Linked DNA regions of Xenopus tropicalis. The main gene of each other region encodes a partner of the protein of the gene in region 2 in a complex. Links are inferred from orthologs where the notes say so. Each region holds a gene or a part of one and is shown on either strand. Other genes may lie near its edges.

Evidence for each region.
Region 1: the proteins of sos1 (region 2) and hras are in contact, whole or in part, in a crystal structure (PDB 4NYM), measured with the Homo sapiens proteins. The link is inferred for Xenopus tropicalis from reciprocal best matches to the Homo sapiens genes SOS1 and HRAS. Residues at the interface, in NP_005624.2 of Homo sapiens: Glu589, Lys602, Trp809, Thr810, Lys814, Leu822, Met824, Ile825, Arg826, Thr828, Thr829, Thr832, Glu836, Asn869, Leu872, Val875, Ser876, Asn879, Ser880, Ser881, Tyr884, Ser908, Asp910, His911, Tyr912, Lys913, Leu916, Phe929, Phe930, Gly931; in NP_001123914.1 of Homo sapiens: Gly13, Gly15, Ser17, Ala18, Thr20, Ile21, Gln25, Asp30, Glu31, Tyr32, Asp33, Pro34, Thr35, Glu37, Tyr40, Arg41, Asp54, Ile55, Leu56, Asp57, Thr58, Ala59, Gly60, Gln61, Glu63, Tyr64, Ser65, Ala66, Met67, Arg68.
Region 3: the proteins of sos1 (region 2) and krasl are in contact, whole or in part, in a crystal structure (PDB 8BE4), measured with the Homo sapiens proteins. The link is inferred for Xenopus tropicalis from reciprocal best matches to the Homo sapiens genes SOS1 and KRAS. Residues at the interface, in NP_005624.2 of Homo sapiens: Lys602, Trp809, Thr810, Lys814, Leu822, Met824, Ile825, Arg826, Thr828, Thr829, Thr832, Leu833, Leu872, Val875, Ser876, Asn879, Ser880, Ser881, Pro882, Tyr884, Ser908, Asp910, His911, Tyr912, Lys913, Phe929, Phe930, Gly931, Ile932, Leu934; in NP_001356715.1 of Homo sapiens: Ser17, Ala18, Ile21, Gln25, Asp30, Glu31, Tyr32, Pro34, Thr35, Glu37, Tyr40, Asp54, Ile55, Leu56, Asp57, Thr58, Ala59, Gly60, Gln61, Glu63, Tyr64, Ser65, Ala66, Met67, Arg68, Asp69, Gln70, Tyr71, Arg73, His95.

The regions. Positions count from the first base shown.
Region 1 is NC_030680.2:34,323,903-34,327,653, reverse strand, and holds the start of hras (GTPase HRas), read left to right. Parts: upstream 1-1,147; 5' UTR 1,148-1,259; intron 1,260-3,751. UniProt on the Homo sapiens protein: Involved in the activation of Ras protein signal transduction. Ras proteins bind GDP/GTP and possess intrinsic GTPase activity.
Region 2 is NC_030681.2:42,937,909-42,941,559, reverse strand, and holds part of sos1 (son of sevenless homolog 1), read right to left. Parts: intron 1,945-3,651; coding exon 1,817-1,944; intron 231-1,816; coding exon 1-230.
Region 3 is NC_030679.2:2,105,899-2,109,649, forward strand, and holds the start of krasl (GTPase KRas), read right to left. Parts: upstream 2,451-3,751; 5' UTR 2,311-2,450; intron 1-2,310. UniProt on the Homo sapiens protein: Ras proteins bind GDP/GTP and possess intrinsic GTPase activity. Plays an important role in the regulation of cell proliferation.

The DNA.
Region 1 (3,751 bases), on a different chromosome or scaffold from region 2:
CCTGCCCTACCCTTCCTGTGTGTGCCATACCCTCCCTGCCCTATGCTGCCTGTGTGTGCCATACCCTCCTTGCCCTATGCTGGCTGTATGTGCCATACTCTGCCTACAGTACCATGTCTGAGGTGTGAAGAAGTGAACAATGGGAGTGACTACAGTCTGAGCCTGAGGTGTGAACACTGCAGGGGTTGAACAATGCAGAGATTAAAAGGTGTGAACAACACAGGGGATTACATGTTTAAACAATACAGGGGGATTACAGCCTGAATCTGAGGTGAGAACCATGCAGGGGGGCCAGTTAATCACAGTACTGATACCATTTAAATCTTACACAAAGGTAAGCCATCAAAGCAGCCAGACAGGTGGGGGGCCACACAGATGGGGGTCGTGGGCCGCCAGTTGGACAGCACTGAGCTAATGGAATGGCCCAAACAAGCTATTGCAGGCCAGCAGTAAAGTTACACTACTTTACATGATATTACACAGGCAAAAGCCAACACTCTGGAGCTCATTTATTAACGCCGATTGCAGAATGCAAAAATCAGCACACTTTAAAAAAAAAAAAAAATGCAAAATTCCTTCCCACAATTCAGAGCATAATTGCAAAACTGCGCGCCAGACGCTGTAAAGGCATACATCGGCACCGGGTAGTAAAATGCGCCCAAGTGGGCAAGTTACCCCTGTGAGATACAGAGCAGCACATGGGTAGACATTAACAATTCTATAAGCGCATTATTCTTAGGAGTCCAGCAGTCATAAACAAACCTTTGTAACGCAACGCTAGCGCAAACACCACATAAAAACGCAAAACTTGTAAATGTACTAAATGAATGAATCCGTTTCCCTATGGGTCCCCTTCCCCGACTCCAACTAATAACAAACCCAAGGGATGCCCTTCCCGCCTAAGTCCTTCCTCCTCGGCCAATCACAACTTGAAGGCACTCTTGATTGACTGCATTGGGGGCGTGGTTTTTAGTAGCTCTCTGGGCGTGGGCTGCCCACATTGTTCCTGAGCGGTGAATGCAGCAGCTGCATAGAGAGCAACGCCCAAGCCGCCCATTCATCTGCTCCCTGCTGCTCTGCTTGTATGTGCTCAGCTCACATAGCGGCACCGGGCAGCGCCACACATTGCCTGCTGAAAGATCTGTTGCTCTTCGCAAAAATTGCGCCTTTTGCCCTAATGCTTGATCTAGGTATTATGTTCTATGCGAGGGAGAGCAGCTGACTTTAATGTGGGGGGGATCACCTGCTACAGTCCTGCGGTAAGTAGCTGCGATCGCTGGGCGTTCCTGATTGGGTCTTTGGTTTCCTGTTGCAGGGGCTGCAGAAATGATTTTCCTATTTATTCTTATATATACAAACGGGGGTGGGATATTGTAATAGTTGAAGCTGGGTTTTTGTTTCAGTTTTGCTATGCTGTTTGCTGTATTAGAGAAGGAAAGTTGCCAACACTATTTATGGGAACTTTAATTGGGGCAAATAACTGTGGTGCTAGCCCTTTTCCCTTCCCAGCTGCAGTCTTGTAAATCAACCCACTTGTTAGTATGGTTCTGCCGCCCCCTGCGGAGTAATGAGTTGATGATGTTATTGATTGATGTGATTCTGGGCTTACCAAGCTGTGACCCTGTTGTTGAACTACAGCTGGGTGCCAGCACCCTCCCAATAGGTTTAGGTTGAACATCTCTGAGGTATGTGCTAAAGCAACATTTTTCCTCCAAGGGGATTTTTTAAATCTGGGGTCCCAGGGCTAATTCCGTGCCATCTCTGTCATGCCCTAATACAGTGGATGTTTAGTAGTGCCAGCCCAGGATAGGACATTAACATTGGAATTTAGGCTGGTGCCTATTGCCATACTTTGCCCAGTCTGCCGTTATATGGGCAGGAATTGAAATGATGGGAAGGCTATTATGACTGGTACATTCCTTGTTCTATTAATAAAAGGAAATCTGATTGTGAGCTCTTGCACCAAGATAATCACTGTCAGGACTGTGGTAAAAGAGGAATTTTGACCAATGCACTCATCTCAGGGAGAACATGGGAATCAATTACATATTAGAATGATGTCGAAAGCAGAATTCTAAGACAATTTGCCATTGATCTTCATTTTTATTTTTTTTTTTTGTGGTTTTTGAATCATTTACATTATTTTCTGCAGCTCTTGACTGCTATCTGGTTTCTAGGCATTAATCACCCTAGCAACCAGTTTTGAAGCCAACATGGATTAGGAGAGGACCTGAAAAGAAAAATAAGCAATAACATATAAGAATCACAATAACATTCAGCTTCACCAATTACTGAAGGGACCCCCCCAGACCCCTGCAACACAGCACAGCCCTGTTGGGTATGGGATGTTGCTCTCTCATTGTCCTTGGCTGACCCTGGCTACTTGCCTGTAACAAACCTCCTCTGAGCTCTATTGATGCTACCAAGGAGCCTATGCTGGAACGATATGTCACAGGCTGAAATATTGATGGGATGACGATAATGCAATTAAGGAGAATTTGCTTTTTGAGGTCTCTCTAGGCTTTCCAGTGTTTTGTTCATATTGCTATGGGGGAGGGTCTTATGTCAATAACAGAGCAGTTCTCTAAGGTTTCTGCTGCCGCATCTCTTGCTGTGTGATGTCATGTACCTACCTGTTGGCTGCTGATTCATTGCTGTGCCTCCCGGTACATTGCAGAGCCACAGCGTAGAGCAATAGAAAAGCAAACTGGGATATTTCCAATATTACCAATATTAGTGCACTGGGCGGGACCCAAGGCCAGCAGCTGCATGGGGATTCAGAGAAAAGAGTAAGAGGCAGCAAGCAGGCCCAGCCCCAGAGAAACTTCCACACCTGAGAGTCACCAGTCATATGGTAAAAAAATCAGAAATATTGTGGCTACAGGTAGGAAGATTGTCTGTGGTTTTTAAGTTATATGTGAATGTATCTGCTATTTAGCCAGTAATTTCCAGACTAACTTCTGCTACATTGTTTCAGGAGTCAGAACCAGAATTGCAGTGAATGTAAACAGCCAGTCAGATGCTGCTTTTTAAATTTACAAACAATTGAACATGTTTAATGTGTATTGGAAAGATGTGTTACTGCATATTCTCTTTCATTATTCAAAAAAAGCACTTTCTGGTTAGACTTTATGTATTAAGCTAAATTCACATTATGATACATCTGCCCCCTAGTTTTTTTTTTTTTTTTTTTCAGCAGGATTTGGATATTACTTGTGTGCCATATTACTTGTATGAACTGTTTCCTACACCACTCCCTTTAGGCTCACAGTGTAATGAAACACTTCCCTTAAAATCCCTCTGCTTATCATAGTGGGAGTTTCACAGATAGTGGGTGGTTCACAGATTCTCTTGAAAGCAGAGGGACGTCAAGTCCCAGAAATCCATCACTTCAGTGATTTAAGTGGAACAAGGTGATGGTGGGGTGAGATCTGCTGAATGTAAAGTGAAATTATAAAAAAAACATAAAAAATGAGGACCAACTGCAAATTTTCTTTCTTAGTATAATTTACAGGGTAATATTCAAAGTTAATTTAAAGGTGAACTATCCCTCTACTGCCCGCTCATGGGCTGATTATTTTTTATTATACTCTTTGCTGATTGGTTGGATATTGTACCATGTGGCTACACAAACAAATGGCAACTGCACTGATTCACAATCGCCCCCCCCCCCATCCCCAATCCCACAATCTTTGGAAGGGCCCGGCGCAGAGTAGAAAACCCACCCGGATACCATAACTGTACCAGTTCA
Region 2 (3,651 bases):
GCTGTCCATGATTTGACTTGCAACAGATCATCAAACCATCAAATAGGAATATGTGTCTTTCGTGTTTAGCCCCAACACGTGTTAAGGCTCCCTCCATGATGAATTCGTTACAGCACTGCCCAATGTCTTTTCCCTCCCATCCATCAATGTTCTTTTGAATTTCATTCATTTTCTTAATAGCTAGTTGTTTCCCCTTCATTTGCTGACTATAAAATCGACATGCAGATTCACTGTATGAAAAAAAGAAAAGACAAAAAAGGATTATCATATGTGGCTGCTTGATGACAAAAATAAATAAGGTTTACCCTGAATTATGCTTTTATGATACAGTTCCAACTGTTTTGCTTGTTATATTGGATCTGGCAAGAATAACGGGTTAGGGAATGTCCTGTGGAGAGATTAGCTGCCTGCAATAGATCTCTGCTACCACAGGCAACTAATCTCTCTGAAATGCCTTTCCAACAGCAACAAAGGGATCGCCGGTAGAAAGGCCTATGCATCACTACGGTTTTCTGAAGTTGCGCCACCACAAATATGCAGTGTTTTGTCCTTACAAGTCTATCTGACAGATGGTAAGTTAAAAATTTAGTAGGAATCTTCAAGCAACAGTTCCTGAAAGAATTGTTGCATTTACATACAACATAATATAACATACTCTGGAGACTATTGAATGCAGGAAAAAAAGGACAGCTAGAAAGATAAATTACCATCCTTTTTACTTCTCAGGTTCTACTAGAAAATATACAAATCAAGATCAGTAATTATCTAAATTGCCCATATAAAAGAAATACCAAAGTATTTCTTTGTCTGTAAAAATTATTTGTTAGTAAACATCCACCCTAATATGACTCAAACTAAAACTTAGGCATATTTAAGAGCTAGGTCTCTGACCCCACTGTAAACTACTAAAGAAATATTAATGAAAAGAATTAAGGCCTTAATAGCAGACAGACAGCCAATGCATGGAAATATTCACATTATTCTTGCAATATTGATCAAACCTGAAAGAAGTGTCCAGTAATGACGCTTGACGGCTGTGCAGGAATGTCCTACGTTACAGCTTGCAAATGGAGCAAACTATGAGAGGTTTTTAAACAATAACACACACTGTGTGCCTTAATGTCACTTCCTTTAAAAACATAAAGGCAAAAACCACTCCCATTTTGAATTGCTTCCAAAATCACTTGACACAAGGGGGGAAATGTATCAGACTGTCCCACTGTACTGTAGAAACAGCAAAAAGCAGCATTGTTTTGCAACTCCCTGAACACTACTAAATGGTAACTTTAATTTGTTGCATTAAAAAAAATATAGAGAGCACCCCAAAAATGTTTTGCATTGCTTACTGATTATGATCCTGAATAAGTAGTGACCATTAAACAGAAACACAAAGCTATGTATACCATAAGAAAATCTTTACAGCTTGTTGTATAATGTTAAATGGAGTCAGTATTGAGAATTAGATTAACTTTTTTCTAGACAATTTTTACTCTGCATTTAGATATATATAATAATTTCAGTACAAAAATAGCACTATTTTGCTTATCGTTAACATATCAAAATACCACCTGCTCTCACGAAAGGTGTAACTTGAACCTGGGGGTCCCAGAGGAAATAACTTGCTCCTAATTTGTTAAGTCCTCAGAATACATGCTTAGCAACCCATATGATGTCATCACACCACAGTCAAGTGCTACTATTACATAATGTTGAATTTCTGTGTCTACAATAATGCAGTCAGAATAATATTCTGAATTTGCACAAACATTTGGATTATTGCAGTTTGTACCAATGGTTACCTATAACATGGATTTACCTGAGTCGCCTCTTAGCAAGGCTCTTGGAACATATTCTTTCCATGCTGCTCTGAAGGTTTAGTAGAGCAGTTATTGACTGCTTTAAACATTCTTTATCTTCCTCATCCTCACTCTTTTCTTCTAATTGCTGAGATTTAAGAATAAGTTGGGTGAATTTCTTAGAGCATTGCACACATTTTAACAATGTAGAAAACAATCTTACTTTAACAAACGTAATTAATTAGTCCCTTTACTCTTTTAAGGGACCAGGGCTAATAATATAAATGTAGCGAAAATAAGAGAAATAATCACCACTTTAGCATTTGGACATCAGAAATGAACCCTTTTAGTTTACTATGGCCAACAAACAGCGATTACTTACAGACCCAAGGCCCTTTAGGCTAATGCCAGACGAGGCGTAGGGCGGATATTTTCCGCAAGCAGAAAAGTGCTTGCTGAAAATTCCGTCCTACTCCTCCTACATGTTCCTGCACCCAAATGAATGAGATACGCTCGGATGCAGGCACATGTAGCTGATATACACATGAAAACGTGAGATAATGCAAAAGTATCTCATTCATTCGGGTGCAGGCACATGTAGGAGGCGGAGGGCGGAATTTTCTGCAAGCGCTTTTCCGCTTGCTGAAAATATCCGCCCTACGCCTCGTCTGGCATTAGCCTAAGATCAAGTCAGCAGCTTGTCTGTGTATGGGCCCTTTTCCACAACCTCCCTGACAATATATGGGTGCATTGGTGCATTAATATGGTCTTCTCCTGACAGGCCTACATACGGTTATGAACTGATTGTTGGCCTGGGGGCCGAACAATTGGATCAGCCTGATTTGGCCCTGAAAAACCTGCAGTCTTGATAAAATCACTAAAGTGCATCCTGGAACCAATTCGTTTTTTTTTTTCTTAGTATGTTATCGCCAAAATAAATAAATAAGCTTACCAGAAAAAAGTAACAGGAAAAAAAAAAAAAAAGATGCCAATATGTCTTTGAGGGTGAATTTAGTTTCCAAGTATTACATTATCATGGGTATTTTTTTTTCCTTTCTTTTTTATGTTTAATGTATTAAACATTACACAAGGTCTAAAATCTTGTCACAGATAGTAGGGTTTGCATGTCTAAGACATCCTGTTTGTTTCTCTGTTCCTCTTCTGATAAAGCACCCAATGGCATAAAATGCATTGGAAGGAGCCTGGGGACTATTTGGCACTAGGATGCACTTTGTCATTTGGTATGGTATGAATATTGTAAACTTCTATTTTGAATTTATCTGTAACCAACACATGTTTTTTGTTAATTTTGGTTTTATGTATGCTTTTTCTATAATTAAAATGTATTTATTATTTTTTGACTGTGCTACAACCATTTTTTTTCAACTCCAGAAAGACCTCAAGCACTTTTAGTTTACAAATCACATTCATCCCCATATATCATTAAACTATATCTGGACATTTTTTTCAGAGGCTTGGAAAATTACTGTAATGCTTTAAATAGGAACTAAAGCTTAACAAAGAAGTAGGGAAGAAATGCTGCCCATTATGTTTTGGGCTTCTGTACCAGCCCAAGGCAACCACAGCCCTTTAGCAGGGAAGATCGGTGTCTCCAAAGATGCCCCAGTTGCTTGTCAATTTCTTGATTCAGTGTACATGCTCTGTTCTGCTGACAGTTATCTGAGCTTAGGGACCGACTTGCAATATGCGTGAGTGTGTAAATATAATATACAAGTTACAATGCAAGCCTGATTAATAATTCACTCATAACTGTATTATATGTAATTTCCGACACCAGCGCATTTTGCATCAGAATTTAATAATGAGCCCTGAAGCTCTGTAGCTTTTAATGCAA
Region 3 (3,751 bases), on a different chromosome or scaffold from region 2:
TGCTCTGTTATACAGATAGCTAGAATCTCAGCCATAAAGCAGGGCAGGACTGCTGCTTACAATGGGGGGATCAGATAGGATCTGTGCCACTGTGACAGAATGCTCTGTTATACAGATAGCTAGAATCTCAGCCATAAAGCAGGGCAGGACTGCTGCTTACAATGGGGGGATCAGATAGGATCTGTGCCACTGTGACAGAATGCTCTGTTATACAGATAGCTAGAATCTCAGCCATAAAGCAGGGCAGGACTGCTGCTTACAATGGGGGGATCAGATAGGATCTGTGCCACTGTGACAGAATGCTCTGTTATACAGATAGCTAGAATCTCAGCCATAAAGCAGGGCAGGACTGCTGCTTACAATGGGGGGGATCAGATAGGATCTGTGCCACTGTGACAGAATGCTCTGTTATACAGATAGCTAGAATCTCAGCCATAAAGCAGGGCAGGACTGCTGCTTACAATGGGGGATCAGATAGGATCTGTGCCACTGTGACAGAATGCTCTGTTATACAGATAGCTAGAATCTCAGCCATAAAGCAGGGCAGGACTGCTGCTTACAATGGGGGGATCAGATAGGATCTGTGCCACTGTGACAGAATGCTCTGTTATACAGATAGCTAGAATCTCAGCCATAAAGCAGGGCAGGACTGCTGCTTACAATGGGGGGATCAGATAGGATATCTGCCCTCTGGTACAGAATAGTAGGCAATTAATTTACCCCTCTGCTTTAGTTCAGTGGCAATTTCAGGCCCTTCGTCCTCCATGTATTAAGGGCCACAGATGAAGTCATGTGACCCCCAGTAGAAACAGAGGGGGATATGTAACCCGTCCCCCATTTCTCTATACAGAACATTACTGATGCCCCTATACCGACAAACTAGGGGTATTTACCCTTTTAGCACCTTAAATATTAAAGTCCTATTCTTGTGGTTGGGGGGGGGGGGGGGGGACTAGGAGTCAAAAATAGGCCCAAAGAACTGCAGGGGGCATTCCCTAGAGACCCTGTAAAGAAGTATAACGGACAAAGACAACACATCCTGGGGGGGGGGGGGGGTAATTGTGGTCCCAGGGAATTACCCCTAAACGCAGTACCCCAATAAGCTGAAAAAAGAGACAAATGGGGCACAAGTAGACAGAGACCAATCAAAGCAGGGGGGCAGAATGGGAGAGAGAGGAATAAAGCCCCAAGGGGGGCAGAATGGGAGAGAGAGGAATAAAGCCCCAAGGGGGGCAGAATGGGAGAGAGAGGAATAAAGCCCCAAGGGGGGCAGAATGGGAGAGAGAGGAATAAAGCCCCAAGGGGGGCAGAATGGGAGAGAGAGGAATAAAGCCCCAAGAGGGGCAGAATGGGAGAGAGAGGAATAAAGCCCCAAGAGGGGCAGAATGGGAGAGAGAGGAATAAAGCCCCAAGAGGGGCAGAATGGGAGAGAGAGGAATAAAGCCCCAAGAGGGGCAGAATGGGAGAAAGAGGAAAGCCACAGGGGTAGGGGGCAGAATGGGAGAAAGGAATAAACCCCTGGGGGGGCAGAATGGGAGAAAGGAATAAACCCCTCGGGGGGCAGAATGGGAGAAAGGAATAAACCCCTCGGGGGGCAGAATGGGAGAAAGGAATAAACCCCTCGGGGGGCAGAATGGGAGAAAGGAATAAACCCCTCGGGGGGCAGAATGGGAGAAAGGATGAACCCCTGGGGGGCAGAATGGGAGAAAGGAATAAACCCCTGGGGGGCAGAATGGGAGAAAGGAATAAACCCCTGGGGGGCAGAATGGGAGAAAGGAATAAACCCCTGGGGGGCAGAATGGGAGAAAGGAATAAACCCCTGGGGGGCAGAATGGGGATCCCCTTGGGATCAGTGGGTAAAGCAAGGGAAGGCAGGGGGGGTAGGAAGAAAGGGACCAGCAGCCACTTGCCCCAAGGGGTACAATACAGAGAGAACAGATCAGGAGGCAGTAATACCCCTGGTGGGGTAAATATAGGGGATCGCTAGGGGCAGGAATAAAGGGCCCAAAGCAACTACCGGCCGGGGGTAAATATAGCAGTTACACCCATGGGCCCAGGAAGGATGAGTAGTTACCCGCAAGGGGCAGATAGAGAGAATCAGAAGCCAATTAGCCCCACGGTGGGGTAGCTGAGGGGGATCAGGAGATCCTTATACCCCGGGGTGGGGGGCAAATTGTAACCGGCCAGTTACCCAGAGAGAAGGCCAAATACCAGCCCCCGGCTGCAGTTAACCCCCAAGGCTTAGTACCCACATACCCCCCGCTGGGGTAACTAGCCAGGCATTGTACCCCCCGGGCCGCACTCACTCACCGGTATGCTGGCGGCTGGGGCTCACGGCTGCATGCTTCCCCCTGGGGATGGGGCCCGGGCTGGAGCAGAGAGAGAAGGCGGCGCTGCCGGTCCCGCACACACAGGCCTGGGCCGGAGACTCCCAGGGGCTCTTTAAATACGAGCTATAAATACAACGGGGATTCGCCGGTGACGTCAGAGCGATTTGGCCTCCCTCATTGGCTGAAGGCGGAATGCAAATGAAAGCGCCCCGCCCCGAACGCTAGGCTACTCCCCGATGGTACCGCCCCCCTGGTGTGACGTACGGGCCGAGGGGCGTGGTGTCCTGGTTACTATTGAGTAAAGGGCAAGTAAGCCTGATAATTCGTCTGCAGGAAATGCCATGACGTAACGCTCAGATCTTTAACCCTGAGAGCAGTGAAGCTGCCATACTGTCTGTCCGTGTGTGTGAAAACTTGTAATTGTCTATCATTTAATCAAGTACTGAAAGAGAGAAAGTGGCGGATAAAGTAGTAAATACTATTTTCCCTATTCATTTGGAAGCAGGGTGGTAAACTGCAGAGAAAATACTCATTTGCAATTGGTCTTCATTTTTTATTATTTGTAGTTTTTTAATTATTTCAATTCTTGTTCGGCAGCTCTCCCGTTCCACTGCTATCTGGCTGCTAGGGCTCCAATTACCTTAGCAACCAGGGAGTGGTATGAATGAGAGACAGGAATATGAATAGGGGAGGGGCTGAATAGAAAGATAAGGAATAAAAAGTAACAGTAACAATAAAACTGGAGCCTCACAGAGCAATAGGGTTTGGTTGCTAGGGTCCAAGTTACCCTAGCAACCAGCGAGTGGTATGAATGAGAGACTGGAATATGAATAGGGGAGGGGCCGAATAGAAAGATAAGGAATAAAAAGTAACAATAACAATAAAACTGGAGCCTCACAGAACAATAGGTTTTGGCTGCCGGGGTCAGTTATCCTGTTGCTAGGGTCCAAATTACCTTGGCAACCAGGGATGAGAGACTGGTATATGAATAGGGGAGGGGCTGAATAGAAAGATAAGGAATAAAAAGTAACAATAACAATAAAACTGGAGCCTCACAGAGCAATAGGGTTTGGCTGCCGGGGTCAGTGACCCCCATTTGAAAGCTGCAAAGAGTCACAGAATTCAAAAATTATAAGAAATAAATAATGAAGACCAACTGAAAAGTTGCTAAGAATAGACCTTTGAGTTAACTTATGATGTAGAGAGTGATATTCTGAGACAATTTGCAATTGGTCTTCATTTTTTATTATTTGTAGTTTTTAATTATTTTACATTTTGTTCAGCGGCTCTCCAGTTTGGAATTTTAGCAGCTATCTGGTTGCTAGGGTCCAAATTACCTTAGAAACCGGGGACTTGCTAAGGTAGAGTTGCAATGAGAGACAGGAATATGAATAGGAGAGGGGCTGAATAGAAAGATAAGG